Canis lupus familiaris: one gene and its partners. Each later gene encodes a partner of the first gene's protein in a complex. Links are inferred from orthologs where the notes say so. Each region holds a gene or a part of one and is shown on either strand. Other genes may lie near its edges.

What was found.
Region 2: the proteins of CNOT1 (region 1) and ZFP36 are in contact, whole or in part, in a crystal structure (PDB 4J8S), measured with the Homo sapiens proteins. The link is inferred for Canis lupus familiaris from reciprocal best matches to the Homo sapiens genes CNOT1 and ZFP36. Residues at the interface, in NP_057368.3 of Homo sapiens: Gln821, Glu835, Asp845, Ala848, Asn849, Phe852, Gln853, Tyr856, Asn894, Glu897, Glu898, Phe901, Gln904, Tyr905, Pro906, Glu909; in NP_003398.3 of Homo sapiens: Arg314, Arg315, Leu316, Pro317, Ile318, Phe319, Arg321, Ile322, Ser323, Val324, Ser325.
Region 3: the proteins of CNOT1 (region 1) and DDX6 are in contact, whole or in part, in a crystal structure (PDB 4CRW), measured with the Homo sapiens proteins. The link is inferred for Canis lupus familiaris from reciprocal best matches to the Homo sapiens genes CNOT1 and DDX6. Residues at the interface, in NP_057368.3 of Homo sapiens: Glu1097, Ala1100, Phe1101, Phe1103, Asn1104, Asn1105, Leu1106, Ser1107, Ser1109, Asn1110, Lys1114, Lys1137, Arg1138, Ile1141, Glu1142, Asn1144, Phe1145, Leu1148, Tyr1149; in NP_001244120.1 of Homo sapiens: Phe329, Ser330, Arg331, Leu332, Gln333, Ile334, Asn335, Gln336, Leu357, Gly358, Tyr359, Ser360, Leu384, Arg386, Asn387, Ala402.
Region 4: the proteins of CNOT1 (region 1) and NANOS1 are in contact, whole or in part, in a crystal structure (PDB 4CQO), measured with the Homo sapiens proteins. The link is inferred for Canis lupus familiaris from reciprocal best matches to the Homo sapiens genes CNOT1 and NANOS1. Residues at the interface, in NP_057368.3 of Homo sapiens: Ile2327, Ile2330, Lys2331, Trp2338, Glu2350, Phe2353, Gln2354, Val2356, Ala2357, Met2361; in NP_955631.1 of Homo sapiens: Phe40, Ser41, Ser42, Trp43, Tyr46, Leu47, Leu49, Thr51.

What each region holds. Positions count from the first base shown.
Region 1 is NC_049223.1:57,388,141-57,391,822, reverse strand, and holds part of CNOT1 (CCR4-NOT transcription complex subunit 1), read right to left. Parts: coding exon 3,661-3,682; intron 3,569-3,660; coding exon 3,464-3,568; intron 2,494-3,463; coding exon 2,374-2,493; intron 1,236-2,373; coding exon 1,044-1,235; intron 289-1,043; coding exon 146-288; intron 1-145.
Region 2 is NC_049222.1:114,602,852-114,607,155, forward strand, and holds ZFP36 (mRNA decay activator protein ZFP36), read right to left. Parts: upstream 2,740-4,304; 5' UTR 2,642-2,739; coding exon 2,603-2,641; intron 1,853-2,602; coding exon 899-1,852; 3' UTR 602-898; downstream 1-601. UniProt on the Homo sapiens protein: Zinc-finger RNA-binding protein that destabilizes several cytoplasmic AU-rich element (ARE)-containing mRNA transcripts by promoting their poly(A) tail removal or deadenylation, and hence provide a mechanism for attenuating protein synthesis.
Region 3 is NC_049226.1:15,055,041-15,058,722, reverse strand, and holds part of DDX6 (probable ATP-dependent RNA helicase DDX6), read right to left. Parts: intron 2,756-3,682; coding exon 2,654-2,755; intron 2,170-2,653; coding exon 1,994-2,169; 3' UTR 1,987-1,993; intron 580-1,986; 3' UTR 1-579.
Region 4 is NC_049249.1:29,582,827-29,585,844, reverse strand, and holds NANOS1 (nanos homolog 1), read right to left. Parts: upstream 1,416-3,018; coding exon 522-1,415; downstream 1-521. Other genes in the region: basic proline-rich protein-like, read left to right, coding at 1,414-1,764, 1,965-2,420, 2,679-2,741. UniProt on the Homo sapiens protein: May act as a translational repressor which regulates translation of specific mRNAs by forming a complex with PUM2 that associates with the 3'-UTR of mRNA targets. Capable of interfering with the proadhesive and anti-invasive functions of E-cadherin.

The DNA of each region.
Region 1 (3,682 bases):
GGCCAACCAATCAACTATTCTCAGTACTTAGAATTGGACAAATGTCCCATTTACCTTCTAGAAAAAGGAAATCTCTGGACACAAACAGGGCATGTATGTTAGAAAGCACTCCAATAAATAGTACTCTTCTAAGATGGCTACTAACCTTGTGATCTGTTTGTTACACCACGGAGACCCATATGCCCGGCCATCTTGAAGAGCTTTTAACACCAAAAGGTGGCACTCCCTGTAGCGCAGCAATAGGTCAGCATCAGCACCACTTGTGGCATCTAATAAACCCTCTACAGCCTATGGAAGAAAAACAGTAGTCACAAACATGGAAAATACAGGACTCGCGGCCCAACCATCAAAGTCAAAAACCAAACCTTAACAAAAACTACAACATAGCTTCTAAAGCCTCCATTTAACAATGCCTGCACTCACCAAAATGCTTTTCACTTACCCTAACACACACAACTCTTTAAATTTTATCTAGTTTATATTCAGTGTTCTACACAGGAAATGCCCCACCATCCCTACAGGGTGAAAATCCAATGTTCCCCACCAACCCTCCCAACATCACCCAAGTACTTGGATCAATCTATTTCACCAAATCTAAAGTGCTATCTTTTAAAGTTTCTTAACTATATTTTCAAAAACTCTTAATGAAAAATTTCTGTCCCATTTCACCATTGATGACTGTCATGACTACATTCTAGAGAAAATTACTTGCCTTATTACCAAACAGAATTTGTTTTATCTGAATTCTAAAATCTTAGGATAACTTAAGGAGATGGTGGTGTGAGTCACTATATTTTAGTCTCTTCTTAAAAGTAACATTTAAGGGGATCCCTGGGTGGCTCAGCAGTTTGGCGCCTGCCTTCGGCCCAGGGTGTGATCCTGGAGTCCCGGGATCAAGTCCCATGTCAGGCTTCTGCATGGAGCCTGGTTCTCCCTCTGCCTGTGTTTCTGCAAACCGCCCCGCCACCCCCCCGCCGTATCTCATGAATGAATAAAATCTTTAAAAAAAAAAAAAAAAAAAAAGGTAACATTTAATAACTAACCTTCTGGAGCAATCCAAGAGCAGCTATAGCATCCCGAGAGTTTCGAGATAATACTACAACCTCCAAAAGACTTCTAAGAGCCTGGGCTTGAGGATTCATGGCCAAAGTTGGTGGGATGGCATGCAGGTGCTGCTCCAATTCTGTAATGCACTTATCATAAATCTGAGCTACATCATCTGTTGCCCAAGCTTGCTGTTTTACAGAAGGAGACAACCAAAAAGGAAAATTTTAAAGATTTTTCGTGCAGCAATTAAAAAGTCATTTAGTATGTTTACTCACTGAATTTTTTTCTCATTGAAACATAGAAGGGTTCTCTTCCTTTCCCCTTCCTGAACTATTCAATCTTAATAACATTAGGTGGGGCAGTGAAGTGCAAGGCAGGGATTGCCAGTGGGGGTGGGTGGGGGTGGGGGGGTGTATTTCATTTGACTGAGGAAAACCCATCACACAATCAAGTAATTAAAGCAAGCAAGATAAATAATGGGATAGGATACAGCCTAGGAAATTAGGTAATCCAAATCATGGAAAATAGTATTCAGTCCAGCTATCAAAGCCTGATAGAATAACACAAAATCATTTCTGTGATAAACCTATCAAAAATGCACTATCTAGATCTATTCCTGAGAACATATATTGGACAAACCCAAATCAAGCCGTTCTAGAAAATAACTGGCCTATAGTCTGTAGAAGTCTTGAGATCATAAAAGAGGAGGAAGAAGTGTTCTAACAGACCAACCTGGGGTGAATTTAAAAAATATAACTAACTGAAATGTGCAATTCTGAAATAGGGCCTTTTACTATAAAAAAGTGATACTGAGACACTTGATAAAACCTGAACGAGGACTAATTAAGTATCAATATATCGGTGTTAACTTCCTGATTTCAATGGCAGTACTGGCAGGAGAATGTCTTTTTAGATAATACAGACCAAAGTATTCAAGAGTGACTGGGACCTAAGGGTCAGCATTGTATATTCAAATGGTTCAGGGGGAAAATGTTTCTTCCTATATATTCAAGTTTTCTGTATATGACTATTTCAAAATGTCTTTACAAAACAAACAAAACCAAAACAAATAAAAACAGGCGAAGCCATGTGGATCACCCATGTAAATTCCTCTAGTTAGGCCAAACATGAAAATCAATTTCATGGGGGGGGGGGTGTCCCCCATATGCCAGTGCTGAGCTGATACAAAGAACAGATATACTCAATAATTGTGGGGTTAAGTTTTCCTCCTAACTTAAGCTCACAGGAAGCAAGTGATAGGTTAACAGATAAAAACATTCAAAGTAAAATGTAAAACACTCAATTTAATCCCAGGCAATGACTTACCTTCATGGGTTGAGCTAAAAATCCCGTGGGCTGACTTAAATCATTTGTGGGCAAGAAGCCAGGCACATTGCGTGCAAACTCCTCATAAACAGCCAGCTGCTTTGGGTCCACACCACCAACCTGGAAAGAAGAAGAACAATTTTGACAGGATCCTCTTTACAGAACTGAACCCAAGTTTTTTGAAAGTGGAAAGTTTGCATAGGAATAATCACGGGGGTTCTGAGAGGGGACTGAGGAGTCACTGCAACATATTGACGTTGTGTGCATGACTGAGTACGGTTTGCACGCAATTCAGTGTTTCCCATTTCCCTGATTCCTGTCAAGAGTCCCCTTCATTGATAAATTCATTTGAGTTTTTCCACTGGAAAATGCTTCAGATTGGACCAAAACAAGTCCCAATTCTCCAGTGGAGCTGGTAAAATTATCAGATTTCTCACATGATCTTTTCATAGTAAGTAACTAGCAATAAAAACTTAAGTACCAGAAGGAAAGACCAAGTTGTAAAACCAAACAAGGACATGAACTCTTTATGGTAACACTTCAACCAACTGGGAGGTGCATACATCTAAGGTTATCCTTTTTTTTTTTTTTTTTAAGATTTTATTTAATTATGGGGGGGCGGGAGGCAGAGAGAGGCAGAGGCATAGGCAGGGGGAGAAGCAGGCTCCATGCAGGGAGCCTGACATGGGACTCAATCCGGGGTCTCCAGGATCACACCCTGGGCTGAAGGCGGCACTAAACCGCTAAGCCACCTGGGCTGCCTCTAAGATTACCCTCTTTAAATATATACGTATTTGAAAGATTTTATCTTTAGGAAATCTTTTAAAGTAAGTAACTTTAAGTAATCCCTCACATGAGGCTTGAACTCCATCCCTAAAGTCAAGAGTCACACTCTACCAACTGAGCCAGCCAGGCACCCCCATCTAAGTTATCTTTCATGCCTTCTCCACAGGTAGCCTTCAAATGATATGCTACTGAGGTAGGATCTGTCTCAGAAATATACAACCCCACTGTCTTAGTGAAGAGCTTAAGCAACAAGAATAGAAAGAAAACAAAGATGGTCAGAGAAAGACAAAGCCCCGATTCTCACTTTCAGCCTGATTTGCTCTGGCATCCGCTCAGCTTGGTATGTTAACACAACAGGATCACAGTACCTGCGCCCTTCTTGCCTAGCGTGTTTTCTCAGCTCAAATTCCTGCAAATAAAAAAAGTCACTGAGGTTCTTGTTATGAGGCATTTTCTTAAATAGAAAAAAAAAATACTTAAATGGTAAATGTAAACACTTACAGTTGCTAATCTCTTGTCCATC
Region 2 (4,304 bases), on another chromosome or scaffold:
GCCCGCCCTCTCAGGTGAACGGCCGGGCCCGGTGACGTCACTTCCTGCCAGGTAAGCGCCGCGGGCGGCCCGGCCTGCGGGGAGGAGGGGGGCGGAGGGGCGGCCGGCGGACCCTACCCTCTCCCGCTTCTAAACACTCCCCGCCCCTCTCGACCGCTTCTGGACCGCAGAGGACTCCGGGATTGCAGTTTACACACAGATTCCTTTTATTTAAAAATTCCAAAAACCACAAAAATAAACTTTTAACAATATATTACTTAATATATTATTATAGCATACTTATAACAATAATTATTCCATCGTTTCCAATATTACAAAAAGGAGGAAGAAAAATACAAGGGAAGCAGACGACCCAATATATATAAATACTATAAAATCCATTAGAATAAATAAAGTCGTCATAAATAAAGAGCCCAATGGCTGGGGGGGGGAATTGGGGGTGGGGGTGTTTGGCAATGGCTTTGGCTACTTGCTTTTGGAGGGAAATTCGAGCACCAGGATTCCCCCTCGGGGGAGGCTCCAGTCACCACCAGACTCTGGAACCTCAGGGTCTAGGAGAAATTGGGAGGGGGCAGTGGGAGCCTATTATTCACAGCATTGGGAAAGGGAGGGGTGGGTAGAGGGCTCACTGCCTTCCTCAAATCTGCTACATACTTTTTTTTTTTTTTTACAAGACCCAGAAAACTCCCCACCCCAACACCATGAACACAGATCTTGCACACTGGGGACCTGCCCCAGCGTGGGGTCAGGGGAGTGGGTTAATGCACTTTGGAAGGTAGGGGGAGGCTACTTGATTGAGTCCCCCGAGTTCCCCACAGCCCCGGGGCCCCTGTGGAACCCACAGCAAAAGAGAAATGGCCCCCTTGAATCCAGCTGATCTGTACTGGGCAGGCACTTGTCACTCAGAAACAGAGATGCGGTTGAAGATGGGGAGTCGCCGGGGGGCTGCAGGTGGCTGGGGTGTCCCAAAAATCCCAGCCTCGAAGACAGGCGAGTCGGATCCCCCTAGGCTGCTGCCGCTGCTGGCATATTCTTCAGGATCAGATCCCAGGGACTGTGCAGAGGGGCTCCGAGCCAGGCCACCCAAGGGCCCCCAGACGCTACTGGGGGTAGCCCTTCGGCAGGAGGGGCAACAGACTGTGGTGGGGTCCCTTCGGGCCACCGGGGTCCCAGGGGCAGCAGAGAAGGCAGAGGGTGAAAGTGGAAGGTCCCCAGGTGGCGGTGGTGGGGAGCTGGAGGGAGAGAAGGAGCAGGAGGACAGGGAAGGGCCTGCCAGGCCTGCTGGTGGTGGTGACGGTCGGCGGCCGGAGGGCAGGCCCGAGAAGCTGATGCTCTGGCGCAGCACATGAGGGTGGCCCGGGGCAGCCAGATCTTCGCTGGGGTTGTGGATGAAGTGGCAGCGTGAGCCGTAGGGGCAGCCGCCCTGGAGGTAGAACTTGTGGCAGAGTTCGGTCTTGTACTTGGGGTGGCGGCTGGCCTGGCGCAGCTCGCCCAGCCCGTGGGCAAACTGGCACTTAGCCCCGTAGCGGCAGCGCCCACTCTCGGAGAAGGTCCGACACAGCTCGGTCTTGTACCGAGATGAGGTGGTGGGAGTCGCAGTAGGTGAGGTGGGTGAAGGCGACAGTTCAGGGCCTGGGCGGGGAGCCAGGGGTGCGAAACCCGGGGGTGGTGGCACCCAGCCACAGCTTGGACTCTCCACCAGGCTGGTGGAGCGGCCAGGCAGGCGGCCACTGATCCCAACCCGGCTCCTCTCGGGTGAGCTGGGGCTCCAGAGCCCGGAGGGGGGCCAGCCTGGGATGGACTCCGTGTCTCCGTGGTCAGATGGCATGTCAGGGCTCAGCGACAGGAGGCTCTGTGGGAACAAGGATCGGTTAAGAAACCGAAAATGCTGGGTGACGCCCCACCCCAGCTGCAGGGCACCTAAGAGCTTGCCAGTCCGGTTCGTGGGCTCCCAGCCTGAGCCCCACCTGCCCACATTAAAATATGGGTGCCGGATGGCAGGGATCCCGATTTGGAAGTTCAGAATTTTTTCCTCCCCGCGACAGAAGTGTCTCCCGAGGGAACCAGAGTCCCCGGCTCTCCAGGCCGGATCAAAACAAGACCCCAGAGTCCGACAACACCACTGTCCTCCCAATTTCGAGCCTCTGGGCCCCCGGGGAGCTGACCCCTCGCATCGGGTTCTCCAGTTTCACAACTGGGGAAGCAGGCAAAGTTAGCCGCGGAGTCGGGAAGCCGTCGGACTTGAGAGTCCCCAGAGCTCCTGCTGGCCCGAGGGCCGGAGGGTCAGGAGTCGGCCCCCCCTCACCCCGAGACTCCGCGCCCAGCGCCGCCTCCGCGCCAAACCGCGCCCTCAGCAACCACTGGGGGTTAGGCCAGGTGTGGGGCCATTTCCGCCTCCAGACAGCCCTGGACTCCGACGAGTCCCCCGGCCTCCCGACCCCCGAGGGCCGCCCCACGAAAGTCGCGGGCTCTGTTTTCACCTCCTGAGAACCGCGCGGGTGTGGGAAGGGCGGCAGGGCCCCGGGCCGGGCCGGAGCTGTGGGCACTGGCGCTCGTCGCCCTAGCGGGGGGGGCGGGCCCGGGGGTCGCCGGCGGGGCTCACCTTGTAGATGGCGGAGAGGTCCATGGTGGCGCGATCCATGGCGGCGCGAGCGGCCGAGGGGTGAGGAGTCGGCCGGGAGGGCGAGCGCTGAAGTCAGGCTGCGGTCGGCCGGCCGAGCCCGGGCTTTTATAGAGGCGGGCGAGGGGGGGCGGGCCGGGTGGGTGGGGCCAGAAGGGGCGCTTCCCGGACGCGCGCCCCCAGCAAGGCCCGCCCGGCCCCCGGCCAGGACGCACCGGAGCCCGGCCCCGCGGGCGGTCGCAAGCGGGGAGTGCCCCGGGCCGGGGGGAGGGGGGGCAGGGGGCAGGGGGGACAGCGGGGTGTCGGCCCAGTTTCCAAGGCTGGAGAGAGCGAGGCGCGGAGAAGCGAACTGGGCCGTGGTGGGGGCAGGGCTCCCCGGGGAATCGACACGGGCCGAGGCCAAGAGGGCGTGCGCGGGACGACGGCCGGGGGCGGGGAGAGGAGAGAGCCGGGAACGCAGCCGGGGAGAGAACCGCGCAGGGACGCGGCCGTGGCGGGAGAGCCGCGCGCGCCCCGGAGGCAGGGAGAGGCGGGGAAGTTGGGAGACGGAAAAGACAAGTTAGAGACAGTCCCAGAGGGACAAACTCAAAAGAGGGGGAAGCGAGAGGGAGGGTCGCGTAAACTGAAAAAGCGGGGAGATGAACCGGGGGAAGCAAACACCGACAGGCCAGAAATCCCGTAGGAGCAACACGGAAGGGCGACCCAGGCCAGGTGGGGGATTTCGCTCAAACAGCCCAGGTCGGGAGGCCTTGGTCACCAGCCCCCTGGCCCTCGAGACTCGCGGGGGCGGGGGACCCCGGATCCCTGGCGAGGCAGGAAGGGGGCCCCTCGAGCTCACGCAGCAGATGGCCCCTCTGATCGGTACCCGCCCCCCAGCTCTGCTGCGTGAAAGTACTTTACGGCCATCCACTCAAGGACGCATTGTGCCCATTTTACACACGAGGAGACCCAGGCCGAGTTACTGTTGTCGAACCTGTTAGTAAAAGTTCGCCCTCTGAGAAAACTCAAGATTGGAAAGGGCGGTGTGTGTGTGTGTGTGTGTGTGTGTGTGTGTGTGTGTGTGTGTCTTTTATTGTGGACGAGGGTTTGCCTCCGATGGAAAGTCTTTTGGAGGTGGAAGGAACGGGTCCCCCCCCCCCCCACCAACTGGTGGTCGCACGGGCGTCTTTTGGAGGGGTTTGCCTTGAGAGAACTGCCAGTCTGCGGGGGTGACTCCCCACACTGGCAAGGCCGCTGTGGTCGAGGGGGTGCCCTGCGTGACACTCTGTTACAAAGGCCTGGGGAGAAAGTTCACTTTTAAAGGGGCTCTCGGTGGGCTGGGTGCCCGGAGTGCAAAAACATGGGGGCTGAAGTCGTTGCCACGGGGTGCGGCTCTACCCGGGCGGAAAGTTGCCTTCTGCGGGCTGCGGCCGCGCGCTGGGACCGAGGCGGAGACACTGCCCGGCGCACCGACCTGCCCGGTCGGACGGAGCTCGGGGGAATCCCTGTGCGGCGCGTTCTGGGGCCGAGGGGCCTTCCCGGCCGGTCCCGTGAGCTGGGCGGCTGCGGGTGCCTTTGGCACGGTTGCAGCCTCCCGCTCGCCCGTGACTCATTCGCAAGGGGCGGGGGAGGGGGGCTTCCTGGAAGCGGTGACGAGGAGGCTCGGCCCGGACGCCCGGGTTCCTCTCTTGTAACCAGGGTTTGT
Region 3 (3,682 bases), on another chromosome or scaffold:
AAAAGACAAAAATTTTAAAAAGATAGGAAGGAAAAAAAAATAAAAAAAGGAAAGAACTACTATTGTTGATTTCTTGGGCTGTGTCTAAAAGATGATATTCTGAATGGTCTCATAGCATAAGGCACTTCGCACAAATAAGTAATAAGCTCTTCAGGCTTAAAAAACGGATGAGTAATTAGGGAGAAGTTGAAATGCACTCAAGAGTCAGCTGTTGGAGAATTTTGAAATTGTAGACAAGCTTGTGTGTTCATCAAGATTCTTCTCTTTTCAGGGTTTCTCCCCTTCTCTTCTTTCTCCTCCTTCCTTGTCCCCCTTCCCCAGAAAACATTTTTTAAAAACCAGCAGTTAGTGCAACTAATGTTCAGTCAGCACACAGTGCAAACAAGTGGAACAAAAAAGGTAAATTCCTTCTTTTCAGCTTTTTCTCTTCACCAGTTAAAAAAAAGAAAAAAATGTCTGAGCTCTTTTAAGTCTTCATAGTTCCAAAATAAAAGAAGATGAAAAACCCACAAAGAGAAGAGCATCCCCCCCAAACGATGTGTCACAGATCCAAACGAGCCTTCTGTATTTTGTGAAAGCCTAAAGGAAGAAGGAAGAAATCTAAAATTAACTTTTGTGAAGACAATATGAACCAAGATACCTAGGTTTTCACAATCTCCATCTCAAATGCTCTGTGGAGTGGCTTCTACTGAGCCTTTGCCTGCTGTAGAATCAATCCACTTAGGATTAAGGCATTTCTGCTAGGAATCCCAGAGATAGAGCAAGAGCCTCTAAATTCTGATATCCAAAACAGTTAAATCAAGAGAAACTGGGCAGCCCGGGTGGCTCAGCAGTTTAGCACTGCCTTCATCCGAGGTCCCAGTCCCAGTTGGGCTCCCTGCACGGAGCCTGCTTCTCTCTCTGCCTGTGTCTCTGCCTCTCTCTCTCTGTCTCTCATGATTAATAAATAAAATCTTTAAAAAAAAAAAGAAAGAAAGAAACTATTTTTTTTTTTAAACATCCACAAATTTGATAGCTTCCCAGGATACCAGCAAACATAGGCTACTTTTACATTAGCCTGAGGATTTTGTTTGACATTTAAGGGGGCGGGGGGAAGAAGAAAGAAAGAAAGAAAACTAAAGTGAAGAGTAATTCAGAAACTTAGAGTAACAGGCATATGGGGCGCCACGATGATTAAGCATCACATTGGTTGGCTCAGGTCACAGGGGTGGGAGGTGGTGGGGGGCGAGGGTGGGGGAGTGGCGGATGCTGCTCTGCAGGGAGTCTGCTTGTCCCTCCCCCACCCTGCTTGTGCTGTCTCAAATAAATCTTAAAAAAAAAAAAAAAAAAACCACAAAAAAAAAACAGGTAAAAATACTCATTGGTAATGTAAAAATTACCACCTCTCAAATAAAAGACTTCCCTTGGAAAAAACTGCAAAACAGCCTGAATTCCTTGATGCTGGGTCTTCTTTTGAGCACTGCTAGCAAAGCCCAATAGTCCACCAATGAAAAGAGAGGGTGGTACAGGAAACCAGAGTGAGTATTTAAAAAAAGACAATTATCCTCACAACCTGATTACACATTTGGCAACGAGGTACTTCAGGTAATTATCTTGATTTACTACAACGTCCAGTAGAAATTAAGAGTGATACTAACAAAAGAAGAATGACTAAGTGATAAAAGACCAAAAAAAATTAGTTTCATCTTCAAGTTGCTGAGAAAAAGATTCTACTTTGCTTTATTTTGAAGTCTGGATTTGTCTTAAGTACTGCTCGTGGATCACATCATACAGGAAAACTGCATTCAAGAACAGTATCCATGGATTCTCTCAGGAGACAACAACTTCCCCCAAGCACACCCGGTTTACCATCATTCATGCCAACAGGTTCTACGCTGTCTCTGCTAGTACGTGTGGTGTAACAGCAAATTTCCTCCAGGAAGGAGGATCTTGCTTTCTTTCCTTTCTTTCACCACTATGCTCCCTAGCGCTATGCAGGGTACGCACATGCTTGTTAGGGCTTCTCATCCTCCACGGGCTCGCTGTGGTATTCTGCCACATACAGGCTCTTGTCAATGTTGCTTGGGATCGGTTTAATTTCTGTTCCCAGCTGCTCCTCAATACTTTTCAGGTTGAAGCGATCATCATATGTGATCAAGTTGATGGCTAAGCCAAGATGACCAAAGCGACCTAATGAAAAAACATTAATCGATTTTTTAAAAAGGAGTTAAATATTAGAATCGATATGTATGTGCAAATCTCTCAGTGGCAAAAGCATACCAGATTATTAACAGTTTTGTTCAGTCCCATTCTCAGTGTATGCCTTCAGATTTCACAGCCCAAAGCAGTACCCTATTTATAGGCCTTTTTCAAATGATAAAAGAGGCTCATTTGTGTCAAAAGTTGCCAAAATACAGATACTAAATAGTAGTTATAGACTGCACTACCTAATAAGAAAAGTGAGGATCTCATTTGTGAATTTTGTATCAATTTAAGCATACAGTCAAAATATTTTAACTTTTCTTAAATGCTCTAGAAAAATTAGAAATAAAAAAACTAAGTAAATTTTAATTCACTGTTCTCATTGTTACTACACTCTACTTCACAAAAGAACAGAATTTAGTGATTATACTTCTCAAAACACTCCTGTGAAGAACATCTTCCTTTTCCTTACCTGATCTTCCAATACGATGGAGATAGGTCTCTGCCAGCTTTGGGAAGTCAAAGTTTATTACCACATTCACAGCTTGTATATCAATACCTCGGGTAAACAAATCTTAAAAGAAAAAGAAAGAATCTCCATCACATCTTTCAATTTAGGCATGTCTTTGTACACACCTTAACATGCATTTCTTTTTTTTTTTTTTAAAGATTTTATTTATTTATTCATGATAGTCACACACAGAGAGACAGAGAGGCAGAGACACAGGCAGAGGGAGAAGCAGGCTCCATGCAAGGAGCCCGACGTGGGATTCGATCCCAGGTCTCCAGGATCGCACCCCGGGCCAAAGGCAGGCGCCAAACCGCTGCGCCACCCAGGGATCCCTTAACATGTATTTCTAGTGCAACTTAAGTTTTAGTCACTTCATTCAGCAATTCAAATGTACTTGCAAACTAGCATTACATTTATGCTCATTATTGTACTAACTTTTACCCAGCAAATTACCTTTCCTAGTCCCATAAAGTTTTAAAAAATACTATAAGGTAACTACAAGAGAAAGAAGAGGTCAGAATGACTGGTAAACTAGAAACTCCTATATGTCTCAGGAGTAATTTTCATATACTTTTTAGTATGTAATCCAAGATTCAAATAGATTAAAAACTGCTGTATAACCAAGAATACATCAAAAACAAGATAATCCACTTGTAGTAATTATTTATACTTTTTTAATTCATTTCATTCTACTAGGTGATTTACAAGTCTGAGGCAAGCACAAGACCACCTCTTTACTTCTCTAGTCCAACAATTACTGTGCTGATTTAGGCTTTGAAAACTACAAGAAAAGACAATTACGATAGACAAATTCCAGCGCTTCTATCAGCTCCTACCCTCCAAAATAATCCAGGACAGTGACCAGTATTTCTAAAATACTGTTTTCAACTTATAACTCATTCTTTTAAATTGCCTCCAGATAAAATTAAAATTGACATAGAAGGTCCTGCACTCTATACTTTGGCCCTAACACAGTTCTCTGACAAGTCT
Region 4 (3,018 bases), on another chromosome or scaffold:
CCGGGGGGTGGGGGTGGGGGGCTTGCTTGCTTCACCTGGAATCCGAGTAACCGATTAAGGACAACTAAGAAATACGGTTTCCAAACAATAAAATAGTCATTTTGCCGACAGTTCCATAAAATCGCCAGGTTCCAGTTCAGTTATGAGGCTTTTAAAAAAATATTCTAGACCTAGTAAAGTGCCTCGTTAAAACTAACCATCCAGGGAGCAGATCGAGACCATGCATCCTGATGCGCATCTCAAACAGATCGGACGTCTACAGTAAATAAGCGGCGCCATCAAGCTGCCCTCTCAGGTAGCGGGATCCACACCCCGCCTCCTCCGTCCGGATGTGCACAAACTAGAAAGTAGAGAGCGACAAACGGGGATCGCAGCGTCCGGGCTCCCCGGCTCCCAAGTGTCGCGCGCGGCCGCCGGCTTTGGAAGGCGCCCGCACGCCCCCGGGCGGCCCGGCGGCGAGCTGCGCGGCTGTCCCCGGCGAGGGCGAGGGCGAGGGCGAGGGCGGCCCGGAGCCCGCGCGCTCAGCGCAGCTTCTTCCCGGGCGGGCAGTCCCTGGCGGGGCGCGGCGGCGGCGGCGGCGGCGGCGGCGGCTTGGAGAGCGGGCAGTACTTGATGGTGTGCGCGTTGTCGCCGCTGGCGCCGCACAGGGGGCACGTGTAGCGGCGCAGCACCGGGCACAGCACCCGCCCGTCGGGGCCCTTGAGGATGTGCGTGGTGTAGAGCGCCACCGCCTCCTTGTTGTTCCGGCAGAACACGCACACCTGCAGCTCGGGCTTGAGCAGTCGGGCGGCGGCCGCCCCGGAGGCGACGTGCAGCCGCGGCTCGGCCGCCCAGGCCGGGGCCCGCTCCTCGCGCGGCGCCACCTCGGCGGATGCGGCGGCGGCGGCGGCGGCGGCGGCGGGCGCGCAGCCCAGGAGCACGGCGGCCGCGCGACCCGCGAACGGGCTCAGCTCGGCGAAGCGCTCCTCCAGCAGCCCGGCCTCGGCGGGGCCCGCGCACAGCTCCAGCGCGCGCAGCTCCAGCGCGCCGCCCAGGTAGCGGCCCCGGGACCCCGGCTCGTCGCCGTCGCTGTCGTCGTCGTCGTCGGGCGGCCCCAGCGCCGGCCCCAGCGCCCCGGGCCCGGCCCCCGCCCCCGCGTGCGGGGAGCAGCAGGACGAGGAGGACGACGAGGGCGGGGAGGCGGAGGCGCCGCCGCCGCCGCCGCCGCCGCCGCCGCCCTCGCCGCCGAAGCGTGGCTCGCCGTCCACCGCCTTGGTGATGAGCGTGGCGAGCCCCAGGTAGTCGTTCCACGAGCTGAAGGGCTGCGGGTGCGCCGGGCCCTGGGCGCTCACGTAGCGGGCGCTGGGCACGAGCGCCATGGGCGGGGGGGCGCGGCCGCGGCTGGGCGAGCGGGGCGCCCAGGGGAAAGCCTCCATGGGCGGGCTGCGGGCCGCGGGCCGCGCGCGCCGCCTCCCCGCGGCCGGCGCGGGCCGCACGGAAGGGAAGCGCCGAGCCTGCCCGCCGGCCTGCCGCGGGGTGGGGCCGCCTCGCCGCCTTTTATCGGGCCCCGCTCCTCCCCCGGCCTCGCCGCCGCGGCCCTGCCCCCGCGCTACCCCGCCCCGGCCTCCCCGCCCGCGCCTCGGACGGAGGCGGAGCGGAGGCGGGCGCGCCAGCGGCGGGCGGGCGGGCGGGCGGGCGGGCGGTGCGCGCGCCCCGGTCCGGCCCGCGCGGCTCCCGCGCCCCTTGCGCTGCGCCAGCCTCGCCAGCTGCGGCGACTCTCACTCCGCGAGGGGGCGGGCTTAGCGCCGCCTCGGGCCCGGGCGCTCATTGGCTGCGGACCAGAGCCCCCTGCGCCGCGGGCGCCGCTCGGGACGCCGATTGGTCCATCTGCGGGAGGGGGCGTGTCCTGCCTGCGGGGCTGCGAGGGGAAGGGAAGGGAAGGGAAAGGAGAGCGGGGAACAGGAGGGGAGGGGAGGGGAGGGGAGGGGAGGGCCGGCCGCCGCGGCCCATCTTCGCCCGAGCGCCGTGCTTTGGTTTGGAGCCGGTGGCCAGGCCTGGGTCTCCCTCCGCCCGGGGGTGAGAGTCGCGGAGCACACGGGCAGGCACGGGGATGGGGGGATGCCCCAAGGTGCGCGCACCCACCTCCCGCCTTGAATGCCCCAGGTCAGCCTTCGGAGGAGCCCCCCCCCCCCCGCCGCGCCCCAGCATCAGCAGGAGAAGCTCCGGAGAGGCAGGATTTGGCGCGCGCTGGGGATGCGGTGGTGGAGACGGAGCTGCCCGACGCTCGAGGCACTCACTTCCCCTTGCGCAGCGCCCTGGAGAGCTGTCAGCCCGGGAAGGCTTCGCGCCGGCCTCGGAGGTTCAGAGAGGTTATGGTTCTTGCCTTAGGAAGCGGTGGAGGCATCAGGACTTCCCCAAGGCGCGCAGCCGACTCCCAACAGGTGTGCCGAGAGCCGGGGTGGCCGTGAGCCCCTGACTTAGGCAGGGAGGGGGTCGGGCCAGAAAATCTCCCACCCTCGGGCCGTGATTGGTGTGTGTGCGCGGAGCTCCACACCCCCGGGGTCGGGGAGGCTGTACGTGCAGCTTGAAAAAGAAAAGCATGCTCAGCGTCACAGTTAGATACTTTAAAATGAGTCCAATATTTTTGTGAAAACAATGGAAGATAAACTGGAAGTTTTTTGTTTTGTTTTGTTTTTTAGGAGGATGTGAGGTGGTCATGCCCTTCTCGCAAGAGACAACGCTTTTTACAAGATGGAGCGTAGGAAAGGTTTTGGGGACTGGGAAGAGTTGTTTTTTCCTTTTTTAAAGATTTTATTTATTTATTCATGAGAGAGACACAGAGAGAGGCAGAGACACAGGCAGAGGGAGAAGCAGGCTCCATGCAGGGACGCGGGACTCGATCCCAGGACTCCAGGATCACACCCTGGGCCAAAGGCAGGCGCCAAACCGCTGAGCCCCCCGGGGATCCCTTGGGAAGACTTCTTAAGGGTTCCGGGGGACTGGCGGGCGGATCAGGACTTTCCTTCCTCGCTCTGGCTG